Linked DNA regions of Rattus norvegicus. The protein of the gene in region 2 purifies or fractionates together with the protein of the main gene of each other region. This does not show direct contact. Links are inferred from orthologs where the notes say so. Each region holds a gene or a part of one and is shown on either strand. Other genes may lie near its edges.

The links.
Region 1: the proteins of Ptch1 (region 2) and Grk2 purify together in Homo sapiens (affinity purification with western blotting; 3 studies listed by BioGRID and IntAct, with this or other methods). This does not show direct contact. The link is inferred for Rattus norvegicus from reciprocal best matches to the Homo sapiens genes PTCH1 and GRK2.
Region 3: the proteins of Ptch1 (region 2) and Ccnb1 purify together in Homo sapiens (affinity purification with western blotting; 3 studies listed by BioGRID and IntAct, with this or other methods). This does not show direct contact. The link is inferred for Rattus norvegicus from reciprocal best matches to the Homo sapiens genes PTCH1 and CCNB1.

The regions. Positions count from the first base shown.
Region 1 is NC_086019.1:211,027,207-211,032,983, reverse strand, and holds the start of Grk2 (beta-adrenergic receptor kinase 1), read left to right. Parts: upstream 1-1,970; 5' UTR 1,971-2,105; coding exon 2,106-2,218; intron 2,219-5,777. UniProt on the Homo sapiens protein: Specifically phosphorylates the agonist-occupied form of the beta-adrenergic and closely related receptors, probably inducing a desensitization of them. Key regulator of LPAR1 signaling.
Region 2 is NC_086035.1:1,552,927-1,558,903, forward strand, and holds the start of Ptch1 (protein patched homolog 1), read left to right. Parts: upstream 1-2,644; 5' UTR 2,645-3,392; coding exon 3,393-3,551; intron 3,552-3,620; exon of another isoform or gene 3,621-4,453; intron 4,454-5,097; coding exon 5,098-5,290; intron 5,291-5,326; exon of another isoform or gene 5,327-5,347; coding exon of another isoform or gene 5,348-5,882; intron 5,883-5,977.
Region 3 is NC_086020.1:33,651,659-33,657,410, reverse strand, and holds the start of Ccnb1 (G2/mitotic-specific cyclin-B1), read left to right. Parts: upstream 1-2,185; 5' UTR 2,186-2,286; coding exon 2,287-2,307; intron 2,308-2,790; coding exon 2,791-2,952; intron 2,953-3,046; coding exon 3,047-3,196; intron 3,197-5,529; coding exon 5,530-5,712; intron 5,713-5,752. UniProt on the Homo sapiens protein: Essential for the control of the cell cycle at the G2/M (mitosis) transition.

The DNA.
Region 1 (5,777 bases), on a different chromosome or scaffold from region 2:
AAAAAAGATTTTATACTTTTGCTCTTACTCCCTCTTACCTTCCTTTCCCCCTCTTGCTCTTTGTTCTCCTCTGTTCTTGCCCCCATTCTCCCCTCCACGTACTCATGGCCAGCCACCTTTCTTCTCTTTTTCTACTCTTCTCTCATTAAACCTCTCCATGTGGGGGGAAAAAAAAGATTTTACACTTCTGACAGGCAGTGGTGGCTCAGGCCTTTAATCCCAGCACTTGGAAGTCAGAGGCAGGTGAATCTCTGAGTTTGAATTCAAGGCCAGCCTGGTCTACAGATCGAGTTCCAAGACAGCCAGGGCTACACAGGGAAACCCTGTCTTGAAAAACCAAACCAAACAAAACCAGACAAGACTTGACAGTCTCAAGTGGGTATAGTGGCATACACCTTTGACCCCAGCACTTGGGAGAACAAAAAGGAAGCAGATTTCTGAGTCCGAGGTCATCCTGGTCTACAGAGTGACCAGGGCATCCAGGAGTACACAGAAAAACCTTGTCTGGAAAAACCAAAACCAGAAACAAAAACAAGACTTTTTATTCTTGGTAGCTCTGGGGGACTAGACTAAGCTGTTGTTTGGCCTTAAATGGACAGTAATCCCATCAGATCTAGATTTGAGGACAACCATTCTGTTCGGAGCCTGCATCAGAGGGCAGCGGTTATAGGAATCCTGAGAGATGGATAGGTCAGTGGTGACATAGGAGGGGGGGCATAGTGGCAGGTGGGGAAAAGCAGTCTGGGTTTAGACCTGGCTGTCTAGGGATGCCATCCACTGACACCCCTCCCCCCCAGATTTGTTTACACCTGAAGTAGTCAAGAAGTCAAGGGAGTGGGGGTGCTTATTTTGTTGGACATGAGTTGATAGGAGAATTAGTTTCTAAGTGTCCAAGACTGAAGTGGGAAGACTGGGTTGAAAGTGTCCTTGGAAAGCAAAGAGGTGCTCTAGCTTGAGACCAGGTCTCACTGTTTAGCCCTGGCTGGCTTTGGCTTTACAGAAATGCACCTGCTTTTGCCTCCCATGTGCTGGGCAGACAGAGTAGGAAGGAGTTGGCTAAGGAAGAAGGCACACAGGAGGGATCAGCGGGTAAAATGCTTGCCACCAAGCCTGAGGACCTTGAATTCTATCCCTAGAGACCTATGTGGTAAAAAGAAAGAACTGACTGTCAAATTGCCTGTCTTCGAACCTCCGTCTGGGCATACACAATAAACAAACAAACATATAAACAATAGGTTCGGCCCTCATCAGAGTATGGTTTGATGGACTATGCCTTTAATCCATTTCAGCCTTTGGGAGCAAGCAGATCTCTTGGGCAGCCTGCTCTACATAGTGAGTTACAGACTAGCCGAGGCTACACGGGTAAACCTCTCTAAAACAAGAACAACAACAAATGTTCGTGGTCAGGAGGGTGGCCCAAGATCTGAGTCTGGGGTCCTGTTGGGAGTTTGAAGTCCAGGATTGTCATCCAAGGTCTGCGGTCAGGTCAGGTCAGATGATGATCTTGAGAGAATGTTCAGAAATTTGAGTATGGGGTCTTGATCGGTGTCAGGATTCTTGTTATGATCCACGGTCTTGGGTAAAGGCCCGAGTAGGAGCGTGGAGTTTAGCATCCGGAGATGCGATCAAGTTAGTGGCCATGGCTTGGGGTCTTGGGTCGATCTGGTGCAAGACTCAGGTAACAACAGTCCAGGACTGAGACTCGTGTCCCGGACACGAGCGGTGCGGCCTCTAGGGGGTGCTGCGGTCCGCCCGCCCGCCCGCCGCCCGCCCGGCTCGGCCCCTCGGCGGCTCGCTGGCGCTGTGCGCGGCAGGCGGGGCCGGAGGCGGCGGCGGCAGCTCCGGGGCGCGGGCGGGCGGGTGGTGGTGGCGGCGGCGGCGGCGGCGGCGCCCCGACTGCAGTCCCGGCGGGAGCGGAGCGCGAGCCGGGCCGGGCCCGAGCCGGCGCCATGGGGCGGCGCCGCCTGTGAGCGGGCGACGAGCGAGGACCGGGCGGGGCGGCGGCGGCGCCGAGGCCGACAAGCCGCGCGGGCCGGGCCGGGCCGAGCGAGCGGGAGCGGAGCGGAGCCTCGGGCGGCGGGAGGAACAGCGCCGCCGCCGCCAAGATGGCCGACCTGGAGGCGGTGCTGGCCGATGTGAGCTACCTGATGGCCATGGAGAAGAGCAAGGCCACGCCGGCCGCGCGCGCCAGCAAGAAGATCCTGCTGCCAGAGCCCAGGTGAGCCCGCCTGTGCCGGGCCCCACGCGCCGCCCCGGGATACAGTGCCCCAGGGACCCCTCTCTCCGTCCTAGGTTCCGGGGACCCTCTGCCCCAGGACCCCACTATCCCGGCTGCCCCATGACCCAAGAACCCCTTCTACTCCGGGGACCTTCTGCCCCGGAGACCCCATTATCCTGGCCGCCCCAGGACTCAGAGACTTCCTCTGCCCCTGCCGCCGCAAGCTTGGTGTCTGTGAGCACAGAGCGCCCCAAGTCCAAGCTCCTAGCCGCGTTCCCCGGGCCGCCTTGCCGCTTCCTGTATCTCACTGCCGGGCCTGGTCGCTGTCAGCCCCAAGCTCTGCTGCAGCCTTCATTCCACCCTGATGCTTGGCTCTGCCCTCTACCCTCTGTGTCCTCTTGTGGTTCCCTTCCTCAAGTCTGCCTCTGTTTACCCGATTGTATCACACAGTCTGTTGCTCCTGCTCCCAGCACCCACTCACCCCCGTTGGTGTTCACTACCCTTATCCACTCCCCTTGGAGTGGGTAACACTCTTGTGAGGTTTGTGGAGTGAGGAGGACCACTCTGGAGACTTTTTTTTTCTTTTGCTTTCGCCTACGGTGGGGTCACTATGAGATTGGGTTTGGGAGTGTTTTCTGGGGACAGTGCAGTGTACCGTCCTTGAGGGCTGCGCTCGGGTGAGGGAAGTCCCTTCTTTACCCTTTTCCCCACATGTGGTTCCTTGTGGGTACTTTTGACCAGGGGACCTCCCATCCTACAGCAACTGGACGTGCTGCCACCTCTCTGCAAGACAACTGATGTCATCGCACCTGGTATCAAAGTTTAAACTGTCCAGGATGTGGGTGCAGAGTAGGGCAGGATGTGAGAGGTGTAGCTGGGGCTTGTCCAGTATACTATGGCAAATAGACTTATCTTCCCATGTGAACTGCTCAGGAGATCAGAGAGTGAGTGAGGCAGGTGTAGTTTTGTTCCCATAGAACAAGGTATGTGTGAGAGAGCTCAGACTTGGATGGCTTGTATAGTGTCACCTGGGTTATCCACAGTGGCACCTGGCCTCCACATCAGGGCTCTCAGCTTCTGGTTTTATGTTTCATCCTGACCTGAAGGGCCTGGATGTCCTGCATCTGGAAGAGATGTGTCCACCCACCAGGATGCCACATGGTGGGTGGTGAGGCCAGTCCCTCCAGTTTCTTATACCAACCCCTTTAGCAGCCAAGAACTGGCCCTGATTTTACTGCCATTCTATGTCATAGGACATGGGGCGAGTTTCCCCCCCACCCCCAGTGGGCAGTGTGAAATAGGCCTCTAGTGGCCTCAGTCCTTAGAGTGGGGTGGGCAGCTTGCAGGCTTGCTGCTGTGCCTCTCACTGGGCCCCTCCTCCAGTGGCTGCACACTGGGTTTCAGTTTGACTGAGAACGGTGCCCAGTAGAGGAAAAATTGGTCTGTGTTTTGAAGAGGCCGTTGGGCCCCCCTTTTTTCTAAGACATTTGCAATCAGATTTCTCAAAACAGGAACTAGACTGAGTGTCAGCTGGGGCTGTCTAGGGGCAGCAGCAGTTAGGATGGAAATGAGTTCAGAAATGACAAAACTTAGAGGGAAGAGTGGGGGAGGTGCAGTCAGCATCTAGGGTACTTGTTGAGCTCTCCTGGGTAGCCACAGCTGTGGGATTCTAATGCAGGTGGGAGGTCTGCAAAGTTTGAGGTGGTGCCTTTTCTAGAACTCTCCATGTCTGGATAGTCTTTCCCCAGAACGAATTGCTCTTAATGGATGCCCACCTCAGGTCGTCTCCCCTGCTGGTGTTCAAGAACCCTGACAGATGATGATCTGTACCTCTCTCTCTTTTTACCTTTTCATATGGCGGCAGCTATGATGTGATGCGATCAAACAAGAATGGAAAGTTTAATAATTCATTATTTATTTTGACATCTGTCATCTCAGTTGATCCAAAAACCAACATGTGAAATTGGCAAGGCCAACAGTTACCAGGATGGGGTGATTTCTGTGAGCAAAACTGAAGCTGGCTTGCAAGTTCTAGGGAACGACACCACAGGTGCAGGGTCACCATCAGTCGTACATTGTTGGGCCAACCGCTCAATCTGTGAATGGTTAGGAGCCTCTAATTCTGGTCACTGGTGTGCTCAGAAGAGTCGCCTTGCAGTAGCCATGGCCCTAGGCATGCATGCTCCCCCACCCCGCCCCCGCTCCCGTCCCCCCACCCCACCCCCGCCAGTGATGGAAAGAAAGCAGGTCCCCTTCATGGTGTACTTTGCGCACTCTCAAGGCAGAGATCTCTTGCCCTTGAAGGTGGTTACCATCATGTCTCAGGTGTGCCCAATATGTCCCAATGTGTGGAGTGTCTTGTCTTCACAACTCTGGGACTCTGGCTGGCCCAGCAGACTGCATTTCTCTCATTTACAACCGAGAGGCTTTGAGGCTTGTCACATAGAAGCTCTGGGATTGGATCACAGATCTCTGGAGTCCTGACCACAGTACTCTTCCTACCTGTGCTTTGTCTCTTCCTCCCAGTCCCGTAGAACTGCTTTGTGACCAGAATCTGAAGCCACTTGTCGTGGGAGCTTGTGGGTCTTGGGTAGTGGCCTGAAAGTAGCAGGGCAGTTTCTGGTATCATCAGTGGTTACAGTATACAGGACCCAAGCCCTTCGCCAGTTGCTGAAACAGAAACAGGCTGCCCTGGCAGAGCTAATGCACAGATAGAAGGACAATCCCATGCCAGGGCCTCCATTAGATACAGGTCCTGCTTCCCCACCCTGAAGCTAGAGCCAGGTAAAGAAGCAATGGGGTTCGTTCCTGTGCCCGTATGCCAATGGGAGTTGTTCCACTTTGGGGTAGGCCATCTTGGCAGCCTCTCTGTGGCTGGTGCCCAGGGTTGTGGCTTGGCTGAGCTTGGCTGGCATCGCAGCTCTTATTTCCCAGGGTTGGGGACTGGGAACTGTTGGGCATAGTGCCACTGTAACTTGGCAGAAAGATATCCCCTTCCTTCTGTCACCTAGAGGATCTGGGGAAGCAGACTCATTCCCAACCTTCTCTCAGGTGGGGGTTCTGTATGGATAGAACACAGGGGTCCTGGCTTCTCACTCCTGCAACACTGGCTCACACTGGATCCAGGCACACTTGTCCTGACTGGACGTGCCTCAGTTTATCTGCCACCAATGACCTCCCAGGGCTGTGGGGCTGAGGTGTGGTCCTCGCCATACAGATGCTGTTGCCTCTTTTCCAGCAGCTGCTGCAGTCCTGTAATTAGCATCATTTGCTTAATATGACCACTAAGGCCCTGTGTAATTAATCTCAGGGCTCCTGGGTGAGGAGCCTTGCCTGGGCGGTCCCGGGAGATGTCCCTGCTCTCCCCAGTGACAGTGGCAGCCCCAGCGGCAGCATGTGGGAGCTGGGTGCCTCTTGCAGCCTTCTGGTTCTCTGGGCTATTTCCTGGTCCCTCCCCCACCACGAGCTTCCTCTGATGCTGCCCGCCCCTGCCCGCCCCGTGCTTGTTTCCCCGGTCTCCCCAGACCCTGCTACTCTTCCTTCTCTGCTTCTTCGTTCC
Region 2 (5,977 bases):
GCTAAGCTATAGTTTCATCCTAGAATCCAAACAGCTATACTGCAACCAAAGAAGTAAAAACCTGGAAGGGGGAACCAGTAAATGGTTAAGAGTAAAATACAGTAAGGAATTTGAAAAGACAACTTTTATACATCTAGGTGGTTACTTTGCCATACATTCAGCCAGCTTCAAATTAAAAAAAAAAAAAAGGCTGACCTTTGAACTCCAGGTCTCACCCTCAAGTTTCGAAAAAACAACCCAATTTCCAAGATCACGAAATGTGAAAGCTTAAATAGTAGTAGTCTGCCCCTTTCTGCTTTCTGCTGATAACCAAACTACTTGTCAGAGAGTCTTAACAGCTCAGCACTTTACTCGCTGTTAAGGTCTTTCCCCTCACCCCGCACGCCTTTGCAGAATTTCTCAGTTCTTCTGAAATTCAGTCATTGGAAAATCACGTGCTTCCAGGTGTTAGGACTTTTCTAATTTCCGTACTGGCCAGGCACCCAGGTCCTCTCCCTTATCCTGTGAGCATCCCCAAATGCATCTACTTGGTCTCTATTCCCTCAGATTCATCACCCCACCTCAGAAACCGAACGGATTCCGCAGGTTTGAGATTCAGGATGGCAAGGCGTCCTAGGGAAGCCCGGAAGGAGACAAGGCTAGAGGGGAGGCTGACTGGGCAGCGATGAAGGACTGCAACATGATGGGGGTGGGGGAGACCTCAACTCCCACCCCCACCCCCACCCCGGGCCCTAGGAGCCGGGTGCTCCGCTGGTGGCCGCGCGCCCCTGCGCGGCCCCTGTCTAACCGCAGTCGGCGCCGCTGAATGGAAGGGCCGGAACGCAGCCATTGGCCAGCAGCGGAGAAGCCGCGCGTTCATTGGGCAACGCGAGGGGGCCGGGCCGCCTTCAGGAATGTACTACGGCGTGCCCAGCACGTCTGTCCGCGGCGGTAGGGCGCGCACACAGCCCCGGGCCCGGGAAGGTTGTGCGTACTGTAATGAGGGCTGGAGCGTGCAGGTCAGCGCGCGGACCCTGTTACCTGTGCGCCCTCATCAAGAGCAGGCCGAAGACTGGAGCGCGCGGACGCACACTCACGCGGGTGCGCGGATGGGCCTCTTGCTCCGGGTCACGTGGTGGAGTAGGCTCCGCCTTCTCCCCGCTCCTCCCCCTTTCCCTCCATCTGGGTTCTTTCTTTCCTTTTCTTTCTTTTTTTTTTTTCAATGAACACACACCGTGTGCATCTTAAAGCCACACTGCCCCATTTCACGGGTTCATTTGGCTCCTCACTACTCCGGTTCCCTCTGCATTTCAAGTTGGAAAAAAAAATAGGACGTAACAGAATCTGGTGTTCCTGGGTCTGGTGTCTACTGCGGGAAGGAGGAACTTCAAACTTACAGGAGAATGGAATGTGCTTTCTTAAGAGTTGTTATTATTTTTCTTAAAGAGCGTAGTTGAGTAGACAATTTAAAGTGTTGCTGGCTCCAAGATTCACTCCCCTCCCCCACGTCGCATTTTTGTTGTTGTTTTGTTCAACAGTAAAGTGAATCCCCTGGATGTCTTGGTGACACTGGACGCAATATCAGGACAAATATTAGCGATCTATGAACAATATGTTTAAAATGAATTCCACATCAAAGCCTTTATTCTCTCCTACGTCACGCTATTAAATGTTACAGGATGCGTATCGAGCTTTATTTTTTAAAAAGCTTAAAACTTTCTTTTAAGAATGTGATTAATTAATGGGGGTCCAGATGAACCCTAAATAATCAAGAAATCTCTCATTTACATTTCTCTGGCCTGCTGAAAAGATTTGCTTCTTTTTATATGTTCAACATTCGAATAAAAAATCAGACTGTGTCTGGCTTCTCCTTATAGACGTGTTCAAATTGGACTGTGCTGTTGTGTATTTGGGGGGGGGTGCTAGGGGAGTGTGAGGGGTTTTAAAAAGGGGTGGCTTTTCCCAACATCTTTGCTCGCCTCTTTAACTTTCCATTTTGTTTATCTTAATACAAGGCGTTGTTCCCTGCAAGAGTCTAAGTCTTGCCTTTGGTTATAAAAGAAAAGAGGAGAAAAAAAAATTGGCACACATTGGCGCACTATCCACCACCCTGTCATTATTGGTGCAGGCCTGGGAATTCAAGCCGGACCTCCCAGTATTCGCTGCAGCTTGAGGCCAAAGTGCCTCTAAAAGGGTTTTCTTTGAGGAATCTCAGAAATTGTTTAAGCGCTTAAAAAAATATTACATATCCCCCCTGTCTATTACGAGGCAAATGCTCCTGTGTGAGCGTGTGCGTGTGTATGTGTGTGTGTGTGCGCGCGCTCGCTCGCAAAAAGCGTCTCAAAAAAAGAAGACACTGTTGAAAAGAAAAGAAATAAGAAAGAAAGGAGGGGGAAGCATTCCTTAATGGAAGTATTGCATGCGAGAAGGTTGGCGCTGGGCGAGCGCCCCCCCACCCCCAAGCCTGGGATGCACACACGGGGGTTGCCTACCTGGGTGGTCTCTCTACTTTGGTGAGCTGTTGCTAAGCAGCTAATAATAGTCATGTTTGCTGAGTAATTTCTGCCCTCCAAGAGCCAATCGCGTCGCAGAAACCCAAGCCATCTGACAGCCCCGGGGGCGGGAGTTCCAGCCTTTTTCTCTTTCGCTCGCTCTCTCCCCCTCCACCCCCTCCCCTCCTCCTCCTCTTTCTCCAAATGGAGAGAGTTCTTTTTTTTCTTCTTCCATCTCATCTATTGAGTCAAGGAGCTGCTGCGGCCGCTGCCCGCTGCACACACACAGAGCGGAGTCCTCAGGTCCCGGTAGCGAGAGAGGCGCGCGGCGCGGGGGCAGAATGGTCCAGCGGGTCGGTGAGGAGAACAAGAAAGCAGAGTCCGGGACCGAGCAGCCACCGCGAACCCAGCAGCCCGAGAGCGAGCAGCCGCTTCAGAAGCCGCCACCGCCAACTCCAGCCGCAGCCGCACCAGCAGCAGCAGCGGCGGCAGCCCCGGCCCGGCATCGCTGAGACCCGCCGGGCACCGTCGCGTCGCCCGCAGCGGGCGCCGAGGGAGCCGGCGCAAGCGGCGGGGGTCTGCGCGCGCCTTCTGCCGTGAAGGGGTCGCGGCGCGGGGCGGGGACGTCTGGGGGGGACTTGGGGACCGCGAGGCGCGCCCTGGAAGTGCCGGCTCTCGCCTTCCCGCGAGCTGGATGTGGGCAGCGGCGGCCGCAAAGACCTCGGGACTCACGCGCAATGTGGCAATGGAAGGCTCAGGGTCTGAGTCCCCGGCAGCGGCCACGGCCGCAGCACCCGCAGCGCCCGCCGTGTGAGCGGCAGCAGCGGGTCTGTCACCCGGAGCCGGAGTCCCCGGCCGCCAGCAGCGTCCTCGCGAGCCGAGCGCCCAGGCGCGCCCGGAGCCCGCGGCGGCGGCGGCAACATGGCCTCGGCTGGTAACGCCGCCGGGGCCCTGGGCAGGCAGGCCGGCGGCGGGAGGCGCAGACGGACCGGGGGACCGCACCGCGCCGCGCCGGACCGGGACTATCTGCACCGGCCCAGCTACTGCGACGCCGCCTTCGCTCTGGAGCAGATTTCCAAGGTGCACTTCTGTCCCCTCCTCCCTCTTCACTTTCCCCTCTTCTTCCTCCTTGGAATCCCTTCCACACAGACACACACACACTCTCCTGAGAAAGCAGCAAAGTGAAGGTTGAAAATTTCAAACTCTCCCTCCGGACTCCGGAGGAAAGGGCTGTCTGAGGTCCGCAGGGGGTGGAGGGGTGCGTGTGTGTGAGTGTGTATGTGTGTGTGGTGTGTGCGCGCGCACACGCCCTCCCTGGTGTGCCTTTTCCGGAGCTTTGGAAACCGTCCGGAGTGGACCACCTCCAGGGCGGCCGCAGTGCGGCACTGCCCCGGGCCCCAGCGCCCTTCTCCCGCGCCCCTGCCCACGGTTGCAACCTAAAGTTCGGCGTTGCCACATTTCTTAACCTCTTTGAGGGGGAGGCGGAGTGGAGAGAGGCGGAGAGAGACAGAGGGGAGGGAGCCAAAGTAAAGGTGGTTTCCTTTTTTGGCAGCCGGTTCTGCTTTCGTTGAGCTTGAAATCTTTGCTCCCTTAAAAATTATTCTCGGGAGAGGACGTCCCTTCTCTTCTAGGTCTTGGGCCGCCTCTTCTCCCAGCCTGCCGGGGAGAGGGGCAGTTGTAAACAAGTTGCCACCTTAAATCTTCGGTACGGGTGTGCTGAACCGCCGGGTTCATTGTGTTTACGAGGCTGGCTGAAATGTGTGGAATCCGGGGAAGGCAAGCACCTAGCCTGGGGCCCGCAGGGGCCCTGGCCAGCACCGGGGCTCCGCCGCCCCGAGAACAGCCTGCGCCCAGCCAGAACCCCGGTCGGCGCCGGCCTGGGCCTCTTCCCTGTGCACTCGGCATTTTTAAAGAGTTCACCAGGAGGGAGTGGGAGAGGAGGGAAAGATCCTTGTGGCCGCCCACTTCCGAGCACAAATAGTGTAAGTTGCAGATGGCTGCCGCACTTCCTAACTGAGCTCCCGCGGTGTCTCCCAAGGCTGTGGAAAAGTGTGTAGAGCGAGCTCTGGCTGCGGGGCTTACCACGTGGACCTCGCTTACAGCCACACCAGGCCGGGACCAGATGGGCCACGGTCGCTGTATATTGTCCCTAAGTGCGCTTGCGCCCTTTACCCGGCCTCCGGGGCACCGGAGGAAGCCACAGGCTGGAGCAGGGGAAGGGGGGACGTGTTCTGGGGGTTCTTTGGTGTTGGGCTTCTCCGCTAGGATCACTCAGGCCCTCCCTCTCCCAAGTCCCCGGTACTAAACCCTGGCTGCTGTTGACGGCTTCTCTGTTAGCCTTTCTCCCCAGCGTCCTAAGTCTCATTCAGGGTTAGTGCTCAGGCCATGCGTGGGGGCGCCCCCTGGTCCCTAGAGTGCAGTTCCCACGCTGCAGTCTCACAGATTTACAACCAAGGCCCCCACGCCTCCAGGGATCCCTCTGGACTGTCCTGGTTCCAGTCCCGTGGGCGAGTCACTGCACCACGGGCGCCCACGCCCCCCACTACTATCCAGAGGGGATCCCCTAGCGGGTGTGCGGAGACAGCGATTCCCCGGCGTTCACTCCTCCCTTCTGCTTCGTCCCCAGGGGAAGGCTACTGGCCGGAAAGCGCCGCTGTGGCTGAGAGCGAAGTTTCAAAGACTCTTATTTAAACTGGGTTGTTACATTCAAAAGAACTGCGGCAAGTTTTTGGTTGTGGGTCTCCTCATATTTGGGGCCTTCGCTGTGGGATTAAAGGCAGCTAATCTCGAGACCAACGTGGAGGAGCTGTGGGTGGAAGGTAAGCGACCCGGCGCCGCTAGTGCGTCCTTCGTCTTCCTTCCCTTTACTGCGTTTGATGAAGATATTTGCCAGCATCCACCTAGAGCCTCCCTGTAGCCAACGAAGTCCTTGCCCGCACCAGGGGCGACTGTTTATTGTTTGCATGGCTGGCCAGCAGCCAGGCCCGCCCGACAAAGGCCGCGCTGTAATCTACTCGGGGCGCTTTGCTTTGCTAGGTGTGGTGGGAGAGAGTGGCGGGGGCGCAGGGGCCCTGCGCGGGATGGACCACTCCGCAGGGCCGTGGGGGTGGTCCCCTAGACCCGCCACAGCCGCCTGCCTGGCTTTGGCCCGGGAGCCGCGGCCCGGGAAAGGCCTCTCTGATCCGGGCGCCTGGGCTCAGCTTCTTCCCCCCCACCCCCCACCCACCCACTGCGTCTGCGGAGAAAGGAGAGGGGGGTGGAGGGCAAGGCCACCCCTCTGGCTGCAGGGAGTGTGCGCGCCCCCGGGGCGCGCAGGGGGCGGGCGCCGCGCGGGCCTGCAGAGGCGGCCGCGTGTGTGGTCCTGTTTTTGGACCGCTTTCAACTCTGGGGGAAAAAAACATTTGTCTCAAGGTACAAAAGGCGGGGGGGGGGGTAGTTGAGAAAAATAGTAAAGCACAAACTGGAACGCATGTTTGCAAAGTAGATTAATGTTTTCTCGCGAGTGG
Region 3 (5,752 bases), on a different chromosome or scaffold from region 2:
GTCTACCTCAAAGGTCCCTGGATCTTATCTTCTCTTTCATTTTCTTCTATTTTTTTTCTTTTGAGAAAAGACCTTATAATAGCCCTTGAACGTGTTATATCCTGAAGACACCTCCCCCTTATCCTGGTATATTGCTCCTGCTGACCTTTAGTTATTTATCCTACCTCAGACCCTCAGTGGTCCCTCGAGGGAGGGAGGATGGGGCTTCATGAGCCCCGTGATGAAATACCGATAAGCCCAATCAGATGGTTTTGTACAGGTACCTGTAACTGCAGTGAGTTCGTGAGCATCATTTTGCATCACACCTGTTACGTGACTAAACACACATCCACTCACCCCAGATAGGGAGCTCAAGACAGACCAAAGTATGGATACCACCAAAGTCCAACTTGGTGAACCAAAGAGTTTTATTATAGTTTCTCGCGGAAGCAGAAATGACTCGAAGACAACTGCGTCACCTAGGCCCACCCCAGCATAGGTGACAAGCTCACAAACGCTGGGAAACCTGGAGCACAGTGCTTCAAGCAAGTGTGAGAAGTGCTTGTCTTAAATAAAACAAACCAGGTTCACACACACACACACACACACACACACACGTTGGGGGATAAGGAGGCAATCCTGGGATATAGTATTTGCTTACTAAATATATTAATTTGCATAGCAATGATTACTAGAGGGCTAGGGATACCTCTCCATTGGTAGTGTTTGTCCGCCATGCTTGAAATCCTCGCTTCAATCATGAGTGTGACATAAATCCAGTGTAAAGTTGTATGCTGTACTCTCAACACTGAGGAGGTAGAGGAGGGAGAACAGGAGATTTAAGGTCATTCTCAGCTACATAGGGACTTCGACCTGTGATGTATTTTATAAAACCAAGGATATGTTTTACAGAGCACAGTATGGTGTGGTGGGAGGGAATACCTCAGTGGACCGATGCTGAAGCATATACCCTTCACACCAGATACCAGCCATGATGGGTTTAGTACAGAATAGTTTATTTGGGGGCATGGGAAAGGGAGTTGAGAAAGGAATAGAGACAGAGAAAGAGAGGGGACAGAGGACAGAGAGAAGGGGGAAGGGAGGGGAAGGGAAAGGAGAGGAGGAGAGAAGCAGTTCTTTTTTTATAGCAAACTGGCCTATCTGGCTGTTGCTAGGTAACTGTTGGGCAGAGCATAGAAGGAATGCCAACAACCTGTGCTACAAGAGATCCTGGTCAACAAATAAATAAATCCTCATTGATGTTACTGAAATTTAATGTGGAAAAAGATTTCACTGAAGTTATTTAGCCTTAATAAGGTGTCTGAGGTAGAAGGATGGAGTGCTGCATTATGGATTCTTGTTAAATAGAATAGATTCTACAAAACTGTATTTTTGAAGTAATCTTAAACAGGAGCGAAATTAAGCATGTGGCACATTTTCTTTTGTCCCTGGGGCAGTAGCTATTGGGGCGATTGGTATGTTAATCTATTTGCTTAGGCTATAACTTCATGCTATAAACCTCAAAATCCATCCCAGGCAGCGGTCGGAACAATCATACTAAAGACTGTCTCTGCTTCAAAGCTTTCGCGAACTCTTAAGATAGTACTGGCACTTCTGTAGATGAGGATGAGAAACAGTAAGTAGGGGCTGGAGAGATGGCTCAGCGGTTAAGAGCACTGACTGCTCTTCCAGAGATCCTGTTCAAATCCCAGCAACCACATGGTGGCTCATTCATAACCGTCTGTAATGGGATCAGATGCCCTCTTCTGGTGTGTCTGAAGACAGCTACAGTGTACTTATATATACTAAATAAATAAATCTATTTTTAAAAAGAGAAACAATAAATAGGACAGCAAAACTGTTATGCGTGCTCCAGAAACGTGGCGGCCCCACAGTCATTTTCCTAAGGTCCAACGGAGTTGCCTTGGACAGCACACAAGTGGGCATTGCCGGCCAAGCCTACCTAAAGCAGGTGGCAGCAAAGAGGCGAGTGCGCAGGCGCAGAGCTTGACCTCACGAGGGGTGGGCGGTGCTGCCAGCTACAGCCTCGCTCTGGCCCCACCCCTCGCCGAACTTGGGATCGCGGGATCGCCCAGGAAACGCATTCTACGGGAACCCGCAGCACCAATGGGAAGAGAGCGAGTGCCATGAACTGACCAATGAGGAGGGAGCGGCCCGGGGTTTAAACCCAGGCCCGGCAGACTCCTCCCGGCGTGCTGTGGGGGAACGGCTGTTAGTGTTTAGGTGTGGGCAGCCAGAGGTTAGGGTGTCTTCTCAGATCGGCGAACCTCTGCTTCAGGAGGAGCCATGGCGCTCAGGGTCACTAGGGTGAGTCGGGCCGGGCGCTGCGGTCCTCGCTGTGGGAGAAGGCCGCGGCGGCCAGGAGGGGAAGGGGATGCCCGGAAGGTTCCGGCCAATGGAGGAGCTAAGGACCCTCCCTGGAGGGTGAAAAAAGACTTCGGGACATATCTGGGCTGAAGGACTTAGAGGGAGTAGGGTGGTGTGCTTTTAATGATGAAGGCCCAGAGTGAATCTTCCCAGAGTCTGTCTGCCCAGAGTCTTCCCAGAGAGCTGTCTACAAGGAGGCTTTCATGATTACCTTTCCGATGTAAATTTCACCGTGTTTAGGATTGCTTGGGACTTAAAGGGAAATTGGATAATAGGTGAACGTTTTGGGTGGAAACCTGCTTGTCAGGGCTGGAGGATAGATCCTAGAGCCCTTGCTTTCCATAGTGGGGTCCCGCCTTAATTAACCCATGACTTCCTGGAGCCGCCATGGATCCTCTCTCAAGTGGTTCTTACTTCTTTCAGAACACGAAAATTAACACAGAAAATAAGGCCAAGGTCAGCATGGCAGGCGCCAAGCGTGTGCCTGTGGCAGTTGCTGCCTCCAAACCCCTGCTGAGATCGAGAACTGCTCTTGGAGACATTGGTAATAAAGTCAGCGAACAGTCAAGAATACCCCTCAAAAAGGTAACTTATCTTCCTGGTCCAGTTATCCTGAAAAAGCCCATCTTCTAGGTGTCACCGTTGGAAAAACATTCTGTTCTTTCACTTTCATCCACAGGAAACAAAAAAGTTAGGTTCTGGAACAGTTACTGTTAAAGCCCTACCAAAACCTGTGGACAAGGTGCCAGTGTGCGAACCAGAGGTGGAACTGGATGAGCCTGAGCCTGAACCTGTTATGGAAGTGAAACACTCTCCTGAGCCTATTTTGGTAAACTTAGCATTTTAAAAAGTGTATTCCTCCTCTCTGACTTCATTTCATGTTGATGCACACGACGGCATTTAAATATATTGTTTATTGAGTGGTTAGTGCATTTTACGTGCACTAACAGCTCTAGGGTAAGTATTAGCACTCTGCTTCAGATGGTGGCAGATAAATATGGTAGGGCTCTTGTTTTATGTAGACAGTCTCACTGTGTGCTCCTGGCTGGCCTGGAACATAGAGGTTTGCCTGCCCCTCGAGGCCTGGGATCCAGAGGTGGCATAATCATTTTCTTTTTTGTGTAACTGTATAGCTTCCGCTGTCCTTGAGTTTGAGATTCCCACCTCTCCAATGCTGGGGTGATATATTCAGGCTAGATCTTTTAATTGGTTTCTTTAAAAGGAAAAAAAAATCTCAGACAGAAATAAGATTAATTAAATAGGGTCCTTGGTAACACATCTTCCAATCCCAGCATTCTGGCCTAGAGGCAGGTGGGCCTCTAAGTTCAAGGCGGGCTGTGTATATAGTAAGATCCAGTCCAGACAGAGCTGCATCTAGTGAAACCGTTTAAAAAAAAAAAATAGGGCTGGAGAGATGGCTCAGAGGTTAAGAGCACTGACTGCTCTTCCAAAGGTCCTGAGTTCAAATCCCAGCAACCACATGGTGGCTCACAACCATCTGTAATGGGATCTGATGCCCTCTTCTGGTGTGTCTGAAGACAGCTACAGTGTACTTATATATAATAAATAAATAAATCTTTAAAAAAAAAAAAGATGATGGATTAATGTTGATGGGTTAACATTTAAGCCCCAAATGGAAGTTTACCTGAGTTCGTAGCCTGTTAGATTGTGTTTAGCATAGGGATGCTCTGGGTTCAGTCCTTGAGTACTAAAACCACACACACACACCGCCAGATTTTACTACTAGGTGTGATGGTGCATGTTTGTGATTTTAGTACTTCCTCTAAGGCAGGAGGGTTGAATGCTCAAGGCTAGCTAGGGCTCTCTGGGTTTGTAATCAAGAACTTGTATTCACCTGAATAATTGATTAATTGATAATTGAAGGCTTGGCATTCTTTTGAATTGACCTCACATGATGCTGATGAATAAATGGCTTTATTATCACTTACCTGCTCGTTTCCTTTGACTTGCCTTACATGTTAGTATCTATAGAGTCCTGTGTGTGCCCAATCGTATGTATCTGAAGAGAGACTCCTTTGGAGCTGGAGTAACAAGCATTTGTGAGCCACCCAGTGTGGATGCTAGGATCTGAATTCTGGTCCTCATGGAGTATCAAGGGCTCTTTAACTGCTGAGACAGTTCTCCAGCTCCCATGCTCTCTTGTATTTTGTGTGAGAATACACAGAGAAGTCAGAGACAGCTTTTTTTTTTTCCCCCTTCGGAGCTGGGGACCGAACCCAGGGCCTTGCGCTTCCTAGGCAAGCACTCTACCACTGAGCTAAATCCCCAACCCCTTAGAAGACAGCTTTTGAGTCAGTTCTTCCACCATGTGGATCTCCTGGGGGTTGAACTCAGTTGTTAGGCTTAGCAACAGGTACCTTTACCCGTCTTGCCAGCCCACTTCTTCGTACTTTAAACTACCTGAATCTAAATTGGGGCTTATTTTTTTATGAGACCAGATCTTGCTGGCTTGCAGTTTGCTATGGAGACCAGGCTGGCTTCAACTCAGAGACCTGCCTTCCAGGTGCTGGGATCAAAGCTTATATTAACCATGCCTGGCTCTGATTGTTAGAACTGTTTTCTGATTGTTAGAATTGTTTGTTTTTTTTAAAGATTTATGTATGTGAGTACACTGCAGCTGTCTTCAAACACACCAGAAGAGGACATTGAATCCCGTTACAGACGGTTGTGAGCCACCATGTGGTTGCTGGGAATTGAACTCAGGACCTCTGGAAGAGCAATCAGTGCTCTTAACCTCTGAGGCATCTCTCCAGCCTGCCATTTTTTGTTTGTTTGTTTTGTTTTGTTTTGTTTTGTTCTATGGTTTGTTTTTTTCTTCATGAGTGAGATATCAGTTTGCAATGAGTGCAGGGCCCAGGGAGATCTGAAGAGGTCGTCAGATATCCTGGAACTAAGGTTGAGTCACCTGGTTTTTTAATAGAAAACCAGCCCTTGGCAAAAGCAGCAAATGTTCTTTATAGCTAAAACCATCACTCCAGCCCAGTATGAATCATTTCCCAAAAAGAAATTGGGGGAAAGAATCTGAAATACCTTTCGTTTAATAAAATGAATTACATTTATTTAGAATGACTTACTGAATTGGGGATGATGACTTTACGCTCCCATGATGTAGCATGTTTCATGAAGTCTCTTTTCTTCAAGGTTGATACTCCCTCTCCAAGCCCAATGGAAACATCTGGATGTGCACCTGCCGAAGAATATCTGTGTCAGGCTTTCTCCGATGTGATTCTTGCAGTGAGTGATGTAGATGCAGACGATGGTGGTGATCCAAACCTCTGTAGTGAATATGTGAAAGATATCTATGCTTACCTCAGACAACTGGAGGTCAGTATTGTCATTAGCGTCTGCCTTTACTAACTGCAGC